Schizosaccharomyces pombe: one gene and its partners. The gene in region 3 interacts genetically with the main gene of each other region. Each region holds a gene or a part of one and is shown on either strand. Other genes may lie near its edges. The genes, in order: dad1, dam1, klp5 and spc7.

Region 1 (3,227 bases), on a different chromosome or scaffold from region 3:
TGTATAGCATTTGATGAGATTGTTGGAACATAAGAAGCAAGAAAAACGCTTTATTTACGCATTCTAACATTGCTAATTGCATATAAACCAATACTCCAAACGTTTGCTGCAATAGAGACATTATGCTTGTATGCTTTCTTTTAATCTAAGCATATTGTGTAGCAGTTTCCTTTTCAGAATTTTGCTCCTATCTCAACTTTTTATCTTTTCAGGTATTTAACTAGCCAATATGGTTTAGATGGATTATCGACTATTGGAGCTATTTTGTGATTTATAATTTGTTTATTAAGACGTTATCTGTTTGATTCTGAATATATGTCAGCAAAAATCAATTGGTCTTAATGTTTTTTTTTACTTTTACTTCAAATATGCCTATATTTGTCCGAAACTTTGAAAATCGGTTTTTTAACCCTGACTGGTTCAGGGTATTCATGTCGTGAATAAAACGATAGTTATATAGAAGATATTGAAATGAATACTTATGATTCCTTTTACCTTTTTATTATGCTAAACTGCATTAAACCCCTTTTATAATTTAAATAATACCATTAAAATGGTAATTTCTAAAAGGATTCGTATAGTAGTAAAGAAAAAGTTTACTATGCAAATATTAACATCAACAGTTGTTCTGCCTCTCAGACGATGAACGGCTTATTTAAAAATTGGCAGCTTTTAGAAGAATATAGGAAGATTAAAAACTAATATATATATACAAACACATTATTAATGAAGTGACTTAAGGTTTGTGTATTGTAATATGTAAGTTAATTTAAAAGAATCCTGACCTTTGACCAATTTTTGAGGACGCTATTAAATTTATAGATTCATAAAAAACATATAATAACTAATAATTTAATTTAATATGCAAATTCTTTGAAACAAACTGCGTTAAGGCATATGTTTAGCGGCAATGAAAATACATTTAGAAAAGAACGACCATCAAGGTGCATCTAGCATTTCACGATCTTTCTTCTGTAACACTGAATTTTGAAACTCCTTCCAAAGAGACGCGACATTTTCAAATTCCTTTCCAACACCGTTAATGCTTTCAAGATTTTTATTTAGAGCTGACATAAGATTCACAACTTCATTCATACTTTTTGAAATTTGTAAGGTCAAAAGACGACGCCTTCTTTCAAAATCTATATCATCAAAATCTTTATTTTGCTCATTTTGTATGTTTTCAGTAATATCCATATTTTCTGAGGACATGGTATGTTAATGGCTAGTGTCAAAGTCAAGCATGAGCCAAAGTTTATCATAAGGTTACAATCAAGTAGATCTTATATTAGATTTAACTATCTTCATAATTAAATGCCAAAATTGAAGCTTCCGTACGAGCATAGAATATTAGTCAAAAGAGACATGTTATGCATATTTACAAGTTGGAATAAACAAATACATTAAATATAATAATAATAATAATAATAATAAATCCGGATCAGTACTACAATGTAAATAGAAAAGGACTAAGCTTCTTTTAAATTACTTATTTCCTGAGCGCGGCGTAATCTGCGTTCAAGAATCTCATCTTCCTTAAGTAAAGACCTTTGTAAACGAGCTTCACATCCTACAACAGGGCATACACAAGTTGGATTTAACAGAGACAAAATAGCATCTTTTTCATAAAAATGATTACAGGCTGTCGATAATATTGGGTGAACAATTGGTTGTAAAGTTAAAGGGCATCTGTTATCAAAGGTAGCTGAATATACCATCACTTCATCTGCTTCCTGTTCTTCAGTGTTCATGACATTAAAAAATGTTTTCATAGAAGGAAAGTCAGAACCGTCTGTATTTTGCTCATGCCATATGGTTTTTTTAAATTCAATGTATTCTCCTTGTGTGCCATATTTACCATAGTCGGATTTTTCTTCGTATTCTTGAATGAGTTCCTTAAAAATTTGTGTATAAATATCCAACAAACTTTTATTCTAATTTTGTTAGAACAATTGAATATGAAACAGTAAAAAAATACGTCTAAATTGATGTTTTTACTTCATCTACATATAATAGAAAAAGTAGGAAAGTCATTTCCGTGGTACGTACTTCAAAATCACTTATATTTTCACTGGTTTTGTTAGCCAATGTATCCACCGATTGCTGCATCAATAACAATCTCTGCTTTGCATCCAACAGCTCTCGGATCCCGCTATCAAGCATGTCCAAACACTAAAAGGCAAGTGTTAGTCAGAAGTCATAAAGTAAGCAGCATGTCATATTATGTCTATTTTAGGCTCTCTCTCAATAGCCGGAAATAAGAGGAAGAAAAATATTAGTTAAACAATGTTTTTGTATGTATATTTGTACAGCGAACTTCTTTTTAAAAAACTGTATCTCGACATAACACCACTTTCGAGTTTTAAAAGCAATTCATATTAATTTTTTCCATTATCTTTCGTAATAATGGTACACATACCTCATTATTTTTTATCTCAGCAGCAACTAGAGCACATTTTATCACCTGTTTAATTGAATCGTCAATTTCCTTCAATTGGAAGTCGAAACTGCAATGATTTTGGTTTCCAGGTAATAAATTTTGACTTAAAGCCTCCAAGGAAGTTTTTAATTGTGCTTCACTCATTTACGATTCCATTCGAGAAAGAAGTAGTTACGACGTTTAATTAGTAGACAACGCAATTTGGGATTGAAAACCTATTAATTGCATATGAAAACTAAATGCCACAACACTTATTTCCTTAAATAAAAAAAGAATGTTTTTTAAGCAAGGGTAATAACCACGTTTTAAAATTTAAACTCCAGTACGTTTTTATGAAGATTGATGGCATATGTATAAAGACTAAATAAATTCTTATTTACTGTCACGTTTAATACAAATGAATGGGTTATGAAATATTCTCATTTGGAATTAGAATTTATAATGCATACTTCGGACAATTAACGCTTGACTTTTAGTACCTCTATTACTAAACCAACTATTCAATATGATAAACCAATAAAGGATGATTAAGGCCGTGAAATGTATAAATTAAATTATGTTATTTTCAAAATATTCCATAGATTAGTAGTAAAGTAAAACACGATTAACAAAACTATCCGAGTCTTGTCAATATTATTCATTAAAAAAGCAATCATGAACAAACTCTATCCGGAGACGAAAAATTAAGATTGATAATTAACAAGCTCTTCCCGTAAAAGTGGCGGAGTTGCCTCTATGTAAGGTATTTTATGAAGTTCACAATAGGCCTGGCCCACAGTAACATTTT
Region 2 (3,355 bases), on a different chromosome or scaffold from region 3:
AAGTATTAGTGATGTTGATATCAAAAACAATAAAATAAGTACTTTGAATCCTGGTTAAATCCACAAAATAGTAAGCGAGACATATTCGATACCATTTTCAGCACAATTGGCCGATACGTATATTGTTCTAATGACTGGCTTGAGACAAGTGGAATGACCCGCGGCTATACACTTACATACGCTGCTTTGCCGCGGTACTTCCGAACAAAGAAATGCATTTTGAAGTAAAACGAAAACTAGTTGTATACTTGAAAACAAGTGTAATTGCTCCAATGTTTAAAATTACAAATATAGAATGTGAACAAATTTCGACACTTCAAATAGGTTCAATTAGTGTTACATATTTGAGGTATTGAAAGAGCCACTGAAGTTGTAAATGTGAGTATCGAAAATAGACTACAAATACATATTCATTTTATTGGAAATTGAAGATTGGAGAAGCTATTACATATGAGTTTACTGAACGCTTTCTAGAACTTTTAAAGCAATTGTCTACAGTTCACTTCGCTGAAGAAAAATGTGCATTAAAATGTTAAAAATTGTATATAAATCGTAAAATTGAATGATCATTATGATTCCGTTGTTTCATTATCCAACCTGATATGCTAGGTTATTCCCTTCGACTATTATAATAATAAATGAAAAAGAAAAAACTTCAACCAGTCTCCCTTGCTTAAATAAATTTATCTGGAAGCGGAATAGGTTTCTGGCCGTTCAATGAAAGAAGTGTCATTTGTAGCAAATGTTTCGTCTGCAGTTGCAAAATTGGGATCGTGAGAAATAACACCACCATCGTAGGGAGGGTCAGAAATCGAATGACCAGTACGAGTCATCAGCGTTGCCTTAAATTGGTCTTTCTTAGCTTGGAGTAAAAAACTTTCCGAAAGCGGTGCATTTTCATAATCTACGCAAAAAGCATTGATTTGCAATCCATAAAGAAAAGAAGAAAACGATTCGTTGAAATTGTCGAGTATTTGTTTGGTTGCTGACAGGTGATTCATTCGTTTACGAAATTCACTCACATTATCATCCAAAACAGCCAGTGACTTAGTAAAGGCTTGGAGATTCGAAGGGATTGCATTCTCACTTTCTATTTTCACATTATCAACATTTTCTAAAGGATTTTGAGTAGCTTTCTGGTATTTCTCCATGTTTTCGCGACTTTGGGTGAGATGTAGATGTTCTACAGCGCTTTCGGCAGCAGCAGCAGGAACATTTTTCTTCCGACGTTCTCAAAAACAGCCTGAGCCTGAGACTGTAGACGAAAAAGTGAGCTTTGAAAGTTATTCACCTTTAAAGTTGATGATTCAAAAGACATGGCCTAGGTTTCAAGAGCATAAAGAATATCGCGAATCGTTCATACGATTAGCAAAATGCGACTCACCCGACGCTATCTTAGTACGATTTTTGGCTTCTTGCAATAACGATTCACATGAAGCAAGTCAAAAGTTAATCAATACGCTACAATGGCGCGTAGATACAGGTGTTGAGCGTATCGTTGAGCGGGGTGAGCTTTATGCCAAAGAGACAAATGATGATCAGTTCTTGGAACAATTGAGAACTGGAAAGGTAACTATGTTGGGAAGGGACTTATCTGATCGCCCTATCTGCTATATTCAAGTCCATTTACATCAACCCTCAAAATTGACTCAGAATTCTCTTCGTGAGATGACCGTGTGGGTAATGGAAACTATGCGACTTTTTCTGCGACCACAAAAGACTTTGAAGGACTCTATGGACTCTCCTCAAAATGTGAATGTTCTGTTCGACCTTAGTAACTTTTCTCTACATAATATGGATTATTCTTTCGTTAAGTATTTGGCATCGTGTTTGGAGTATTATTACCCACAATCTCTTGGTGTTTGTATTCTTCATAAATCTCCTTGGATTTTCAGAAGTGTTTGGAACATTATTAAGGGATGGATTAAACCAGAGATTGCTGCGAAAATTGTTTTTACTCAGAGCGCAAACGACCTCGAAAAATACATAGACTATTCGGTAATTCCTACTTCTTTAGGAGGAGGCAACAAAAAGATATTCCAATACATAGAGCCAGTAGAGCATGAGAATGATGCAGTCATCGAAGATAGCGCTGAAAAGACTGCAGCACTTGCTCGCTATTATGCGTATTTCAGTGAATGGGAGCAGCACTCTTTAAATTGGGCCAAGCTAGATGATGATGATGCTCAAAATGAAAAAGTCCGCTTATGCTGCGATGCTGCAGGTACCAACTTTGCCAACTGCTATTGGAATGTTGACAAATATATACGAGCGAGAACCGTTTACGACCGACTGAAATGGATTGGTAATGTTTAAATTTACTCAATCTAAACGCTATGTTTTACGACTCAATTCTTTTTATTCTTTTATTAATAAAAGAATGCATCTTCCTATATTTACTACCTTTTACTAAAAACTTGAGTTTAGATCTAATGTCCTCGAAATACTCATGATTCCTCAATGGCGTTTTCAATAATCGCGTTTGCGCATATAAAAACTGTTGAAAATTCCACCAATCATTCAACCGTAGCTTGCTTGTTTAGTTTGGCTTATGTTTAGATTATTTATTTAAAAAAATCATCATGGGACTACTAGAAATATAATACAAATGAAATGTTTTCATAACCATTTACAATATAAGTATTTTCAATTCAATATAGCACATTACAATGAGCAATATAGATATATTACAAAATATCACTTAAAAAAGTGTTAATTTATTTTATCGCAAACTCATTTAAGCTTCCAATTTGAGGGTCAAGTGGCATCTACCACAGTAAAGGCGGTCCTTGTGGTTGGCCATGAAGGTGGATGCACCACAGTTAGGACACTCACGACGAAGACGCTTAACGCTTCCATCATCCTCAACCTTGTAGTACTTGAGGACGGCGAGCTCAACCTTCTTGTGCTTGTGCTTGATCTTCTTGGGAGTAGTGTAAGTCTTCTTTTTACGCTTCTTACCACCACCACGAAGACGCAAAACGAGGTGAAGAGTGGACTCCTTTTGGATGTTGTAATCAGACAAAGTACGTCCATCTTCTAACTGCTTACCAGCGAAAATAAGACGTTGTTGATCAGGAGGAATTCCTTCTTTGTCTTGGATTTTGCTCTTGACATTATCAATAGTGTCAGAGGACTCCACCTCAAGGGTAATCGTCTTACCCGTAAGGGTTTTGACGAAAATTTGCATTTTGGTTGTGCTTAGAAATGTTTTTCGAAATTCATATTTCTTTTGTTAAGTTGTGACTGCTTACTACTGCTGTACTTGGTAAGGTATGACTCTAAAATTTTAAGAATAAGAAGCCGAGCGAGAATTCAATATTCTAATTTAGCGGTCAAATTTTCAACTCGTTAA
Region 3 (5,469 bases):
AATGGAAGGTACTGGTGTTAATAAGAATGCTTCTACTGGCCGCTATTTCTCTGAAAACGATGCTGTCCGTGTTGCCCAAGGTGTCTCTGGTTTGGTCGTCGACAAGGGCTCGCTTCTTCGCTTTTTACCTTATCTCTACACTGGTTTGCAACACGCTCTTCAAGATATTGGTACCAAATCTCTTGATGAGCTTCATGAAGCTGTCGACAAGCATGAAGTTCGCTTCGAGTTACGTTCGAGCGCTGCCATCCGTGAAGGTGATATCCAAGGTTTTGCTACATACGAAAAGCGTCTTTACTAGTCGTGTATAAGGATATTTAGGAAAAATTTAATTAAAGTTAATAAATTGCATTTATAGTACTTATTTTTTTTTCAAGTCAATTGTGTTTTGCTTAGGTAGAAAAAAACAAAATTATGTACATTGGAGGTGGCAGACATATATGTACGCTTGTATTTGATAGTGCATTACGAACGAATTGTGCAAGTTTACTAAGAGAATTTTAGGGTTTATAAATATATAATCTAATAAGTTATTAATTCATTAAAAATTCATATCATCAAGCTTATCCGTTTTTTTTTTTTAAATATACCCAACAGGATATTTAGAGGATTCGTATTTGAATATACGGACCTTTAGGTGGCTTTCTCTTCTTCGTTTTCAGCCATGCTTAAAGATTTCCTAATAATGTTAGCTGGATTTGAAAGATGAAGAGTAGTCAATGAACTGAGGCTTTGTCGAGTCTTCGGTTTAGAAAAATCAAAGTTGTGAATAGCTTCATTGTTGAGGATGAATGTTGGTGAGTCCATATTGGCTCTGGAAAAATTCAAATCAGGAACTTTTGGGACTGGACTACCATCCAGATCAATAGTGTCCAGATGAGGTAAAGAAACATCGTCAGTTGACGAGTCCTCGGCCAGCAGTTGATCAAGCTGTGTGGATTCACTATTAACTTCTTGCTTTTTCTCCAAAGGACTTTTTATCAAAAGTCCAGGTTCTGGTTTATCTTCCAACATCGGGGAGACAGGCGAAGTAAGATTAATTTCAACATCTATCTGATTCTTATTTTCAGGCCGTTTATGTGCAGGAGTTGAAGGCATATGCATAGTATTAAAGAAGTTCATGTTCTTTAACTTAGAGGTTTGAATGGGTGAGTTATACGCGGAGGCACCTGAGTCAGACGTAGACATTGAATCGTCGAAACGAACCCTCTTTTTTGGAGAACGTTTTGAAAATACAACTGGTTTTTTTGGAGACTTCACGAAAAACATTCGAGGCAAGTTATTATTAAGCAAGGGTTGAGTGGGAAAACTATGAACTCTATCACGATTGATAGTTCGTGAATCATCGGATGTTGAGTTGAGCTTATAACTTTCTGATAAGACAGATATATTAGGTTTCTCGCCAAGACCAATGCCCAACAACCACTTTTCCAGTATCGAGAATAGCTCTTGCATACCTCCCTCTTTTAGCAATGAACTAGCTTTGAAAGAACTTCTAAGAAGGGATTCTAAAACAGGAGTGAACTCATCAACTTTATTCTGAGCATCTAGAACCTGATTCTCAATAATTGATTTTAGCAAGTCAACTTCATCCTGTAACACATCAGCGTACATGGTAGCACCTTCTTGTTTGTATGTGTTGATAATGTGAGAAACACTTCTCTGAAACTTTTGGTATACAAGTTCAGGATCTATATCAGCAATGATCTCTGCACGACGAGTTAACAATGATTCTAACTTTGAACGAACTAAAAATACTCGTTCATCTGCGGAATTCGGAAGTATTCGCTCATAGCAGGATAACCAGTACTTAAGTACGCGAATTGAATCATCAAAATGTTTCACCTTTTCTACCTTATTAATAGTATCATTTTGCAGTGGTAAAGTCTCCTCAAATGTCATACGCAATAAATTTCTGGCTTCTGCAAGCTTCGATTCATGAGCAAAAGATTGAGTTACAGCGTCCTGATCAGAACCATTTGATTGCGATGACAAATCGATCTGTGCGAGACGATTCTCCAACTCTGAAATTTGCTCACGTAACTCAACGATTGCTTTTACATATTGGCTTACATGTCGATCTACACTGATCATGTTCCTTAACACTTCGGTTTTGATATTCTTTGCTCGATTAGCATATTTTAGAGTATTGTGAGTTTCTTCGTAATGAACAGAAGACGGAGATACGCAAACAATCATAACTGTCCGACAATTTCCGCCTAAACTAAACTTAAGTAAGCGAGTAAGTTTAGAATCACGATAGGGGACATGCGCACGGCGATGGGGATCACAAAGGGCATTGATACAATTTCCTAGGGCTAAAAGAGATTTATTAATATTAGCACCTTCAAAAAGACGACTACCTCTTAATTTGGTAGCTGTTGCACGTTCTGAGCCAGCCAAGTCAATAATTGATAAAGTGGCCAAAGTGTGGTCCTCATTGATGCCAGCTGTACGAGGTTTTTGGATCAACGTAACCTGCAATACAGCATGCGAACGAGATGAAGCAGCGTTAGCTTCTGTCGGAGACATAGTACGATTAGCATTTCCCTTCATGATAATATCAATGATTTCTTCCAAAGATTCTGGAGACAAAGAAGTAAGACCTGGTACAGTAATGCGACGGTCTGCATCTTCCCGTAAATTTAATGGCTTTGCTTGATTTGGGGTCGGTGATACTAATAAATCACGAATAGTTTCATTATAAATTTCCAAATAGGAAAGGCGAAGGTCAAAAATTTTTTCATCTCTTAAATGATCCATTCTCTCAAAAAGTTCTTTTAGTGTCAAATATATTAAACCAGGATCTTGCATTGTTCCACTAATGGTGTGAGTTTTACCACATCCAGTTGCTCCATATGCAAAGATAGTAGCATTGAATCCATCCAAAATATTGTCTAATAACGGCCTGGCAGTTCTCTCATACACCTGTTGCTGAGTAGCAGTTTCATCAAAAACCCTATCAAAAGCATAACGAAGATCACGGCCAAATCCCGCAGAATTGTTTGACTTTCTAGATAATCTAGCGAGACTCTGTTGAGAAGTAGAAAGTCTGCGGTTTGTGGCACTCAAAGTAGCCGTTGTTTCATCCGGGGGATCAAATACCAAGACACGTCCATCAAGTACCTTTACTACTCGTCGAATTTGACGTCCTGAACCAGGGTTCCTTAAGGAAGAAGATGTTCCAAATGATAAACGATCTGAGGATGCAATTAAATTTGCAGATTCAGCTGTACTAAATGGGCGAACACGGACTATTTTATGTTAGCAAAAAGATATGAATTTAAAAAACATCACATTAAAGACTAACCTGTAACGGTAATGGACGACTGTCTTGACATTGAAAAGCAAAATTTCCATGCAAGCAATCATCCAAAACAGATGAAAAGAAGGGCACTCGCAAACAACAATTCCAATAACCTTCTTGAATAAAAGCAATTTATATCGAAGATCACTATTAAAATAGATGTAACAGTAGAAAAGAGCGAGAAACGCGTTTTTTGAGTGCGCTTCAATGTTGACTGTTTGGCATTTGCCAAGTTACATTTCTTAGTCAAGTAACGCACTTTGTTTTGAATGGTTGTTATGGCAATAAAAGATGTAAACAATTACATTATTTACATATTTTGACAATAAACACAAATACAGGTAGTTACGATTAAAATCGAGTTGAAATACTGTTTTACCTTTTCATTTTCACTAGTTGTGTATAATGCTATCTCAGTATCATAGATGCTTTTACAGTATTTTTATTATTATAAAAGGCAACTAAATTCGATGATTGAACTGAATCGCTATCGTTTGGTTTGTAACTTATAATGTACACATGCCTGGCAAGATTCTTGCTTTGCTTTACTTTTATCACACTTTAATAAATCGTCCGACAAATTTAAATCATTTTCACCTATAATTGCAATAGAACATCAAATAAGTGTATATATTCTTCTAGCACTTCTATAAACACCACAACTGCTGCACTAGCTACTTTATTGCCAATTAACTGATGGCCTAAATATCTGATTAGTTTGAAAGCAGAGGACTAGTGAGCGCTATAAACAAAATTATATTCTATATTTTATATTGGGTATTCCTATATTCGTTAGGTACTAAATACTGAGTTTTACTTCACCTTTTAGTCGATATCGTTGAGACTTTTACCAATAGCAACTATAATGAATTAGGGGTTTTTCGTGCTATAACATTACCGCTCAATTTCTTTCAAACCACCAAGCGTCAAATTAGAACTACCTACTAAGCATTCGAATATGCAATAAAATTTCACCTTTGCCATAACCATAAATTTTACTATTGTTGGATAAGTCTTATTATTGCTAAGTAATTGATTACCTTAAGTTCATTTATCAAATAACAAAGCTCTACGTTTCAAATTTCAAAAAAAAAAACTTAACCTACTCATTGAGTTGTTTCAAATAAAAAAAAAGCAATTGGATTCTCTTCTGTTGGAAAGCACCCTTCATACAGCAATATTGGTATTTAAGGCATTGAATTTAAATATATTACTATGGCATTTCGTGATTCAACTCGCGATTTCAACAGAAGTAGACCTGAAAAAAGGCATGCTTCGAGATCTTCTTCACCTCGTTCATTTCGACCTTCAAATCAAAATGCAAGAGCAAATTATAATTTAGTAAGTAGGAAAATGTTAGTTGTTTTTGAATTAACCTTCCCTTTAGCCGAGAGTGAGAGATGCTATGAAAGAGGAAGAGCGAAGTAGGGAAACGAAAGAAATGCAAGAACGGGAATTTTTGCGTTTACAGCAGCTTCGAAGAGCTATTATTCGACTTAAGAATGATCGTTCTAAGCCTATAGATAAACTTCTTGTCAGCGTTTACTTGATGCCAGGCCCAGAATGGGAAGAGAATGGAGAAAAAAATTCAATTGATTTTGGAACAGTTGACATGTTTGATCCACTCTCTGTTATTCAAGTAAGGGACTTATTTTATTTTTACTTTATAACAGATTAATCATTAACATACTTAGAGTTATAAAGCAGAAGATTTGGAGGAGATATCTAGAAATATTGGTGATATTCAGCAGCTGGAAACGAACCAATGTAGACTAACTTATTGGAAGGTATGGATTATTTTTTATGCTTTAAGTGCTAAATTATACATTATAGTACGTTAAAATGCTAGTGAATTCTCGAATGGAACATAACAAAGTTGGGCAATTTTCAAGAGGGTTAAAGGTCGTAGCAGGTGAAGTACAAAGGATTTTAGCCCCTAAATCTTTTGAACAATTAGAACAGCTTGAGGCACAAATTCAAAAAAAATTGAAGAGCAATGTCCCTCTCGATACAGATTATTGGGTTGATTTACTAAACTCTTTAAAATCTTACAAGGCCATTGCTTATTTAAAAAAGACTTTTAATGAAGAATTACAAATTCGAAAAAATAAACTTGATAATGAAGAATGGGACAAAGCTTTTTCCGATGCCAAAAAACTGTC
Region 4 (6,546 bases), on a different chromosome or scaffold from region 3:
CGCTCGACATGAGCGCGCTGACGAATTGAACGTTTTCAGCATAGTGAGTTTTGTACTGTTAATTCAAGAAAAGGGATATCTATATATAAAACAAAACTTCTAAAGAAGTAAATATGTAGAAAACCTGGAAATTAGGGCTCAACCGGCTGTCTGTGAACTTTCGATTGCGGATGCAATCTATTTTTAAGTGTATTAATATTTTTATCAGAAATTGCAGACGAGGTTCAGGAACTTTGACTTACTTAATTAAACTGTGTTCAAAAATAAAAAATGGATAACTTAATAATCCGAGCGAAGCCTAAAAATCTAAAAAACCTCCTATTTCAATTCTGCAAAATTTGAGCTTGCAAACTCATAATTTTGTAAGCAGCGTCTGACTTTCAATTATAAAAATCTAAATATCCGTCCAATTCTCTTAAATTAGTTAAGATCTTTGTTTTGTTTAGGATCGGTCTCTTCTATCGATTGTGTATATATGTATCTAGGAGAACGTAAGATGTCGATCCCGTACTTATCAGATCAATGTGAAACTTTACTACACCAGATTTGCACATCCGAGAATCTTTTAATTATGGATAGTTTATTTATATATTAACTAAACACTTTATTTTGTAGCGCATTACGGGTTTAACAAAAAGATTTATAATTTCATTATCAGTCAAGATCTACCATTATTATTTCACCAATATTAAATAGCATAAAATATATACATTTTCTTTAGTAACATGTGAATTAACGAAAACGAATGAACTAGTATACAACAAGGATAAATGATATTTCCAAGCGTTAAGCACAAAATGAATATTGGGAAAGGAAGTCGCTTCGGCGCAGCATAGCTAATCATTCCCATTAATATCTAGCTGTATTTGTTCCAAACAGTAAGACAAGCAGACGAAAGGGCATAAGTTGATGTACAATGCACCACTTCCGAAAGAGTATTCAAAACCTCACTAACATAAGAGTCTCCTTCACTTTCCGCATACATCTGTTTCACAGCGACTGATGTAGAAGCATAAAACTTTCCTACTTCAGTAGTTTGGTAGATAGTATCAATTGGGAGACCGAAAACAACCTTTACCTTAGATGATACCGAACGCAGGTATAGCTCAACATTTATGATAATAGACTTATCATCATTTTCAACTGACAAAAAGGGCCAATGGTACCATAATCGCTGGAAATCTTGGACAAGATAAACAATTTGTTCCCAACAAATTGAAACATCGTTAAGATACTTCTTCAGAAGACGTAAGTTCCTAGAAAATACCTTGGAATGCCATTTAGAAAACGACGATGCAACATGCTCGAGCACATTTGAGCTGCAAGCATTACTTTCGTTAGGGAACTTACAGGCAATATCAACGTTAACTTGGAAATTTTGCCTCAAAATCTCAACCGTAACCTCGGCTGAATAAGGAGAAAGAGCAGTGTTATTTGTAGCTAATTTAATTCCGCCCGCGGTCAAAGAAACTATGGTCCAGCCAAGTTCATTTTTAAGATTTAACAACTGCTCCTCGTATCGCTTAATTTCGTCAAATTCAAAATCTTGGTTTTTCGCATAAAAATCTTGTTCAGCGTTGGTACGTAATTCCAAATCAGAGCAAGAGTTTGTCACTTGTTCTATCTTTATTGCCAACTCCTTTCTTCTTTCTTCTTTTTCACTCAGAAGCCGACGTCTCCTCTCAACCTCAACCTTGAGTTTCTCTAACTTTTCTTGCGCCTGCGCTAGAAGAGTTGAGTCATACTGATTTGCAAATTCCTTCTGCTTCTTTAATGTCTGTACTGTAGTAATACTACCATTGTATCTCTCTTGAATTTCCTGCGCATACGGATGAATAACATTCGCGACATCCATTAAATGGGTCAAGCTTCTTTGCATCCCAGTTAAATTTAAATTTAATTCATGTTTGATTCCTTGCATCAAACCCTCACGCCATTCGTACCAATCACCTTTTGCTTGAAGTCTAGCAAAAGTTTTCATCATTAAAAATTGTGAATCCATTAAAACCCTCATATCACTGGATGCTTTCCTATACTCATAGAATAGTAACGGGTTCTCTTTCAAAGTTTCCTCTTCAATTTTAGTAACAAAATCCTTCCCTTCGGCAATATAATCCTGTAATTGCTGACAACTAAATTTGTATAACTCTAACAAAGGGAATTGTATGTAAAAAGATTCCAAAAGTTCTTGGATACTGCATTTCTTATTTTCTTCAGCATTTGGCAATAGGGTTTCTCGTCTTTTAGCAATAGTAAGATTATCCAAAAATTCAATTCCGGTCATTTTAAGAAAATCTGATAGGCTTATCGGCTCGACGTTTGGTAGAGTTGGCATCGTATCAAATTCTGGCTCATTACCAACAGGTATTTCTTCATTTGGACCAGAGTCTTGATTCAAAATGTTCGTGTTAATAGTCGAAGCGCCCAACGATGTATCAACATTGCTCACACCTTTTGATAATTTGACGGGTGACTTCTCATGTTCATTCATGCCCACGGAAGTTGTATTACCTGCATTTGACGAACCAACTTGAACAAGTTCATTCCGGTTGGGTTCCTGAGATTCCAATCGCTCCAAACTAGTTGAATCGGCGTAATCTGCAGTTGTTATACGCTCTTTTTCATCCTCATTCGAAGGTTGTTGAGGAAGCTTAACAGAAGAAGTCGTATTAGTTGGAACGTGCTTAATTTCGTTAGTCTGTTGAATTGTTAGTCGCTCTGTTTTACTCAATCCAGAATCAACATCTGCATTAGACACTTGTTCGCCTTTGTCATCAGTGGGTTGCCTTGAAACTTCTTCAGGAAGACTTGAAAGCGGCTTTTCTGTGGTGAATGGCTTCTCTGCGGTAAGTGGAGTAGCTCCTAGACGATAATTTTCGGATCGCTCAACCGATTTATAGAGACCAGAATTTACTTTTTTTTCGAAAAAGTTAACCGGTAGAAGTTCTCTGTCATTCAAAGTTGAAATTGATTTTCGAGCATTACGGATTGTTGCAAGACGATTGCGACGCAAGGTACTTTGATCAAAACTTGAAGTGCTATATCTTAAGCGTCTTTTCCGAGTACCAAGCTTATCAGTAGGAGTCGCTACCACATGTCTACTTGGAGAAGAAGAGTTAGGATCTTTCGAAAATTTTAGATTATTGTTCCCATTTGGTGACCGTTCATGGTTGGTAAAGGAGGTAGTATTGAAATTTTCTGACTTATCACTATATGAGGGTATTTCTTCTCTCTCGGCATTTTCCTTGTCTGCTGAAGGTAACTCAACATTGTTTCCACGGATTTGAAAAGCCACTGTTTCGTCCATAGCAGCTTCTTCCACCTCAAGATGAGATGTAGAATTCTCACAAGGAAAAACTGTTGAGGTTAATTCCATTGGTTGCTCTTCGGAAAGTGCTTCTTTAGAAGGGGATAATATATTGAAAGGTCTAGTAATGTCCATAAAGTCCTCACTGTCGGGAATGGGCTTTGAAGAATTGGCAGTCTTGTTATTATCCTTTCTCGGTTTTGAAGAAGAGGATATATTTGAGGTAAATTGATTTAAATCATCTTCATTCAAATGGGTGGGTGCATTTGTAGAGCTAATGGGTTGTGTCAAGTCCATTATTTGCTCTTCCATGGATCGTGACGATGGACGAATGGGGGAAAGGAGAGTTAAATGTGAGTTTTCGATATTAAAGGCGGAGGTGGTATCCATTTCTTCTTCTCCATTAGTTAAATCGTTCGGAGAATGATTAGTTAAGTGAGGATTAGCATTAATTGGTCGGGTAAGGTTCATAGGCGCTTCTTCTAAGTTTTGTAAATCTAAGCCATTGGAAAAATGAGACACTGGAGATAAATTAATGTTATTAGAGGTAATATCCATGTCAACAATAGCTTCTTGGGAAGTTAAAGGGCGAGCGATGGGGGAAAAGTGTTGCGGAATTTCAATAGGTCGAGTTAGCATCATATCTTCTTCTTCTTCTTTATTTTCCGACTGATCGTGATTTTCGTTATTTTTGGAGAAATCCGAAATTTCAATACTAGTTGGACTAGATGATTTGTTAGGGGATGAAAGTTGAGTTTGGTTTGAAGGGTCATGAGAAGCTTTTAAACTATAAACAGTACCTTGCTCGCTAGAGCTAAGACCTTTAATTGATTCGGAATGTGATAAAAACGAATCTGCTTCTTGGAATTGGATAGTCAAATCCATGTTAGTTTCCTCTCTATCATTAACCTGCTCTCTCGTGGCATCGTGAACATCAAGTGCCTTTTCTGCTTCAGGTAAGGCTTTTGTTGGATTCTGGATACTTAAATCATCATTCTCCGGATACAGAGAAGGAGGCGGATGGCCAGCATTCAATGCCTCAGAGACCATATCTGATTCGGTTGACCGAATAGGGGACGCAATGTCCATATCACTACCGTCTGAAATAATCGAGGCACTATGACTATGGGGAGATGATTGTGTTTCGTTTCTCGAAAAACTTGTCGTTGTTGGACCTTTAGGGGAATGGTTTTTAGCATCAGATGCAAAAGTTCGCTCAGGTGTGCTGTGATTAGATGTCGACTTTTCCGAGTCACTCTGGTGATCTTTAGGATACCAACGTACACGTGCATGACTAGCAAAGGAAACTCTTCTGTTCAAACTTTTTCTAGACGTCTCACGCGACAATTGCTGTAGGTCTTCCATTTGAAGTCTCTTTGACGCAGCCATAACATTACTAGAGATTCCAATGACCGTGTTATTTATTTGTGTGTGTATATCATTAAAGTCTTCATCTCCTGTGAAAGCGGGATCTACGGAAAAGGATGAATAACTCTTTAGAATGCCTTTTGCTGGATTTGTGTGTTCTTTAAGTTCTTGAAGCGCACCAGGTCCTCCAAGCGAGTGTGGACGCTTCCTACTTTTGTTTCTTCCTATAACATTATCGGTCGTCGCTATACTATTGCGACGAGGCGATGTTGGCATCGTCAAGTTAAACAAAGCACGTCGACACACGAACTTTGTTGTTTTTAGATTAAGACGAACATAAGAAATTGTAATGATAGTTCGTTAAATTTATGGCGGTGAGTTTCTTTTTGCGGCCTAGAACGCCTTTCGTTGTATTATTTAAGGAGTCTGTAAGCCTTTTTAGGATACGGTAGACTACGATGATGCTTTCTGTAATCATTCCTGTTAGCTAATCTGAATAAATAATGAATAAAGATCCTATTTGTAAAAGTTCCAATGAACAATATGACTGTTGTTCATTCTTATCATTAACAAATTGTATAAAGTAAAGGTAAATTGGGGGTACTTTTGTTCAACTGGGTCTATTTGTAATATTGGGTTTTCTGTAAACAATAAGGTAATGAGCATCACAAGCATATGCGCACTGTGATGGAGGAATACAAACTTCAAAAAGGTATAGATATCTAAGATTCACTTGAATGTTTTGTCAAATGAGCCGCACTGTTCTTTTGGCATAATTTAATGGATTAACTTGAAAGCAATGTGCGGTTGTAAGAAGTATAAGTAAATTGTAGCGAGGTTGTTATAAATTATTATTTCGCAAATTGTATATTATAATAATACTCGTGAATATTCCTTTAAAGGAGTGTGTTTATTTAATATCATTCCAGCGGCTTATAATCAATAATCGAGAAAAAAACTGTTTATTGTTAGTATTTCTATAATTTGATGGATATTGCCATGAACTTACAACCACATGTAATTCTATGTTCTACTTTCCATTGAGGTTCTCGTAACCTGTTCCATCATTGTTTACTATTCAAAAGTGGTTATAAAAGGTTACCGGCTAAGCAAATATAAGCTAGCTCATTCTGAACTATTTCCTGTTCATTTCCATGGTTATACTTAGCCATAGTGAAATTGACCAGACATTAATTCGTGTACTTTTCCTTTTACGATGATATATTGATCACAAATAGAAATTATAAATCCTTTTAAGTCAGATTACGATTGCGTTGCTAAGACCTGAAATTGATATATTATGTACTATAATCCATATGTGTTATTAACAACACTAATGCTTTCAAATCACAGTAAAGCTTAGTAACATAACTAGCATTTGTACAACATTTAAATGAGTAAAAAAAAAACAAGTATGGCTGAGCTCGCTTGTCTTAATATTTTTTATTAGAATGATAAATCATATACCACGATTAGGATTTCTTTGAAGAATGGAAATACAAAAGGACGTAAAATGTTTATATTCGGCACAGGAAGGATAGCGTTGTATAAACGAATGATAATTGTTCAGTATTTCAAACAAGTAAGGCTTTTGTCATCAATACTAACATTCTTTTTTTTTTTTTAAATCCGGGAAATTGACAATTCTTACAATTGGATATTTGTAAATCCCGTGTATCCCGTAGTATGGTATGATATTCTATTCGTTGCATTTGGTATAAGCCTTCAAATACGAGCAGACTTGGTTAGCCCAATATCATTCTCCCATTTGGATTTAGTCAATGTTACGATATAAATGGTCACAAATCTCCGGTATCGTAATGTTATCCAGTTTCAAACGACATAACATGTTTCAATTTAATAATGACTTA

The links.
Region 1: mutations in klp5 (region 3) and dad1 are lethal when combined (synthetic lethality), as found in Schizosaccharomyces pombe (2 studies listed by BioGRID, with this or other methods).
Region 2: mutations in klp5 (region 3) and dam1 are lethal when combined (synthetic lethality), as found in Schizosaccharomyces pombe (2 studies listed by BioGRID, with this or other methods).
Region 4: mutations in klp5 (region 3) and spc7 are lethal when combined (synthetic lethality), as found in Schizosaccharomyces pombe (2 studies listed by BioGRID, with this or other methods).

The regions. Positions count from the first base shown.
Region 1 is NC_003424.3:3,088,114-3,091,340, forward strand, and holds dad1 (DASH complex subunit Dad1), read right to left. Parts: upstream 1,228-3,227; 5' UTR 1,213-1,227; coding exon 940-1,212; 3' UTR 671-939; downstream 1-670. Other genes in the region: Smc5-6 complex non-SMC SUMO ligase subunit Nse2, read right to left, coding at 1,470-1,934, 2,050-2,172, 2,420-2,584; taz1 (telomere length regulator), read right to left, coding at 3,124-3,227. UniProt on the Schizosaccharomyces pombe protein: Component of the DASH complex that connects microtubules with kinetochores and couples microtubule depolymerisation to chromosome movement; it is involved in retrieving kinetochores to the spindle poles before their re-orientation on the spindle in early mitosis and allows microtubule depolymerization to pull chromosomes apart and resist detachment during anaphase.
Region 2 is NC_003424.3:3,105,691-3,109,045, forward strand, and holds dam1 (DASH complex subunit Dam1), read right to left. Parts: upstream 1,152-3,355; coding exon 684-1,151; 3' UTR 501-683; downstream 1-500. Other genes in the region: WD repeat-containing protein Atg1801, read right to left, coding at 181-218; csr101 (sec14 family protein), read left to right, coding at 1,150-2,316; ubi5 (ubiquitin-40S ribosomal protein S31 fusion protein), read right to left, coding at 2,738-3,190. UniProt on the Schizosaccharomyces pombe protein: Component of the DASH complex that connects microtubules with kinetochores and couples microtubule depolymerisation to chromosome movement; it is involved in retrieving kinetochores to the spindle poles before their re-orientation on the spindle in early mitosis and allows microtubule depolymerization to pull chromosomes apart and resist detachment during anaphase.
Region 3 is NC_003423.3:1,708,581-1,714,049, forward strand, and holds klp5 (kinesin-8 family plus-end directed microtubule motor Klp5), read right to left. Parts: upstream 3,538-5,469; 5' UTR 3,342-3,537; coding exon 3,311-3,341; exon of another isoform or gene 3,255-3,310; coding exon 634-3,254; 3' UTR 501-633; downstream 1-500. Other genes in the region: IMP dehydrogenase Gua1, read left to right, coding at 1-301; cay1 (cactin), read left to right, coding at 4,523-4,648, 4,695-4,946, 5,002-5,094, 5,141-5,469. UniProt on the Schizosaccharomyces pombe protein: Has a role in establishing metaphase during mitosis. Required for chromosome segregation where it generates tension during kinetochore capturing.
Region 4 is NC_003421.2:785,664-792,209, forward strand, and holds spc7 (outer kinetochore KNL network protein, KNL-1 family member, blinkin, Spc7), read right to left. Parts: upstream 4,998-6,546; 5' UTR 4,952-4,997; coding exon 857-4,951; 3' UTR 626-856; downstream 1-625. Other genes in the region: mmt1 (mitochondrial iron ion transporter), read right to left, coding at 1-42. UniProt on the Schizosaccharomyces pombe protein: Acts as a component of the outer kinetochore KNL1 complex that serves as a docking point for spindle assembly checkpoint components and mediates microtubule-kinetochore interactions.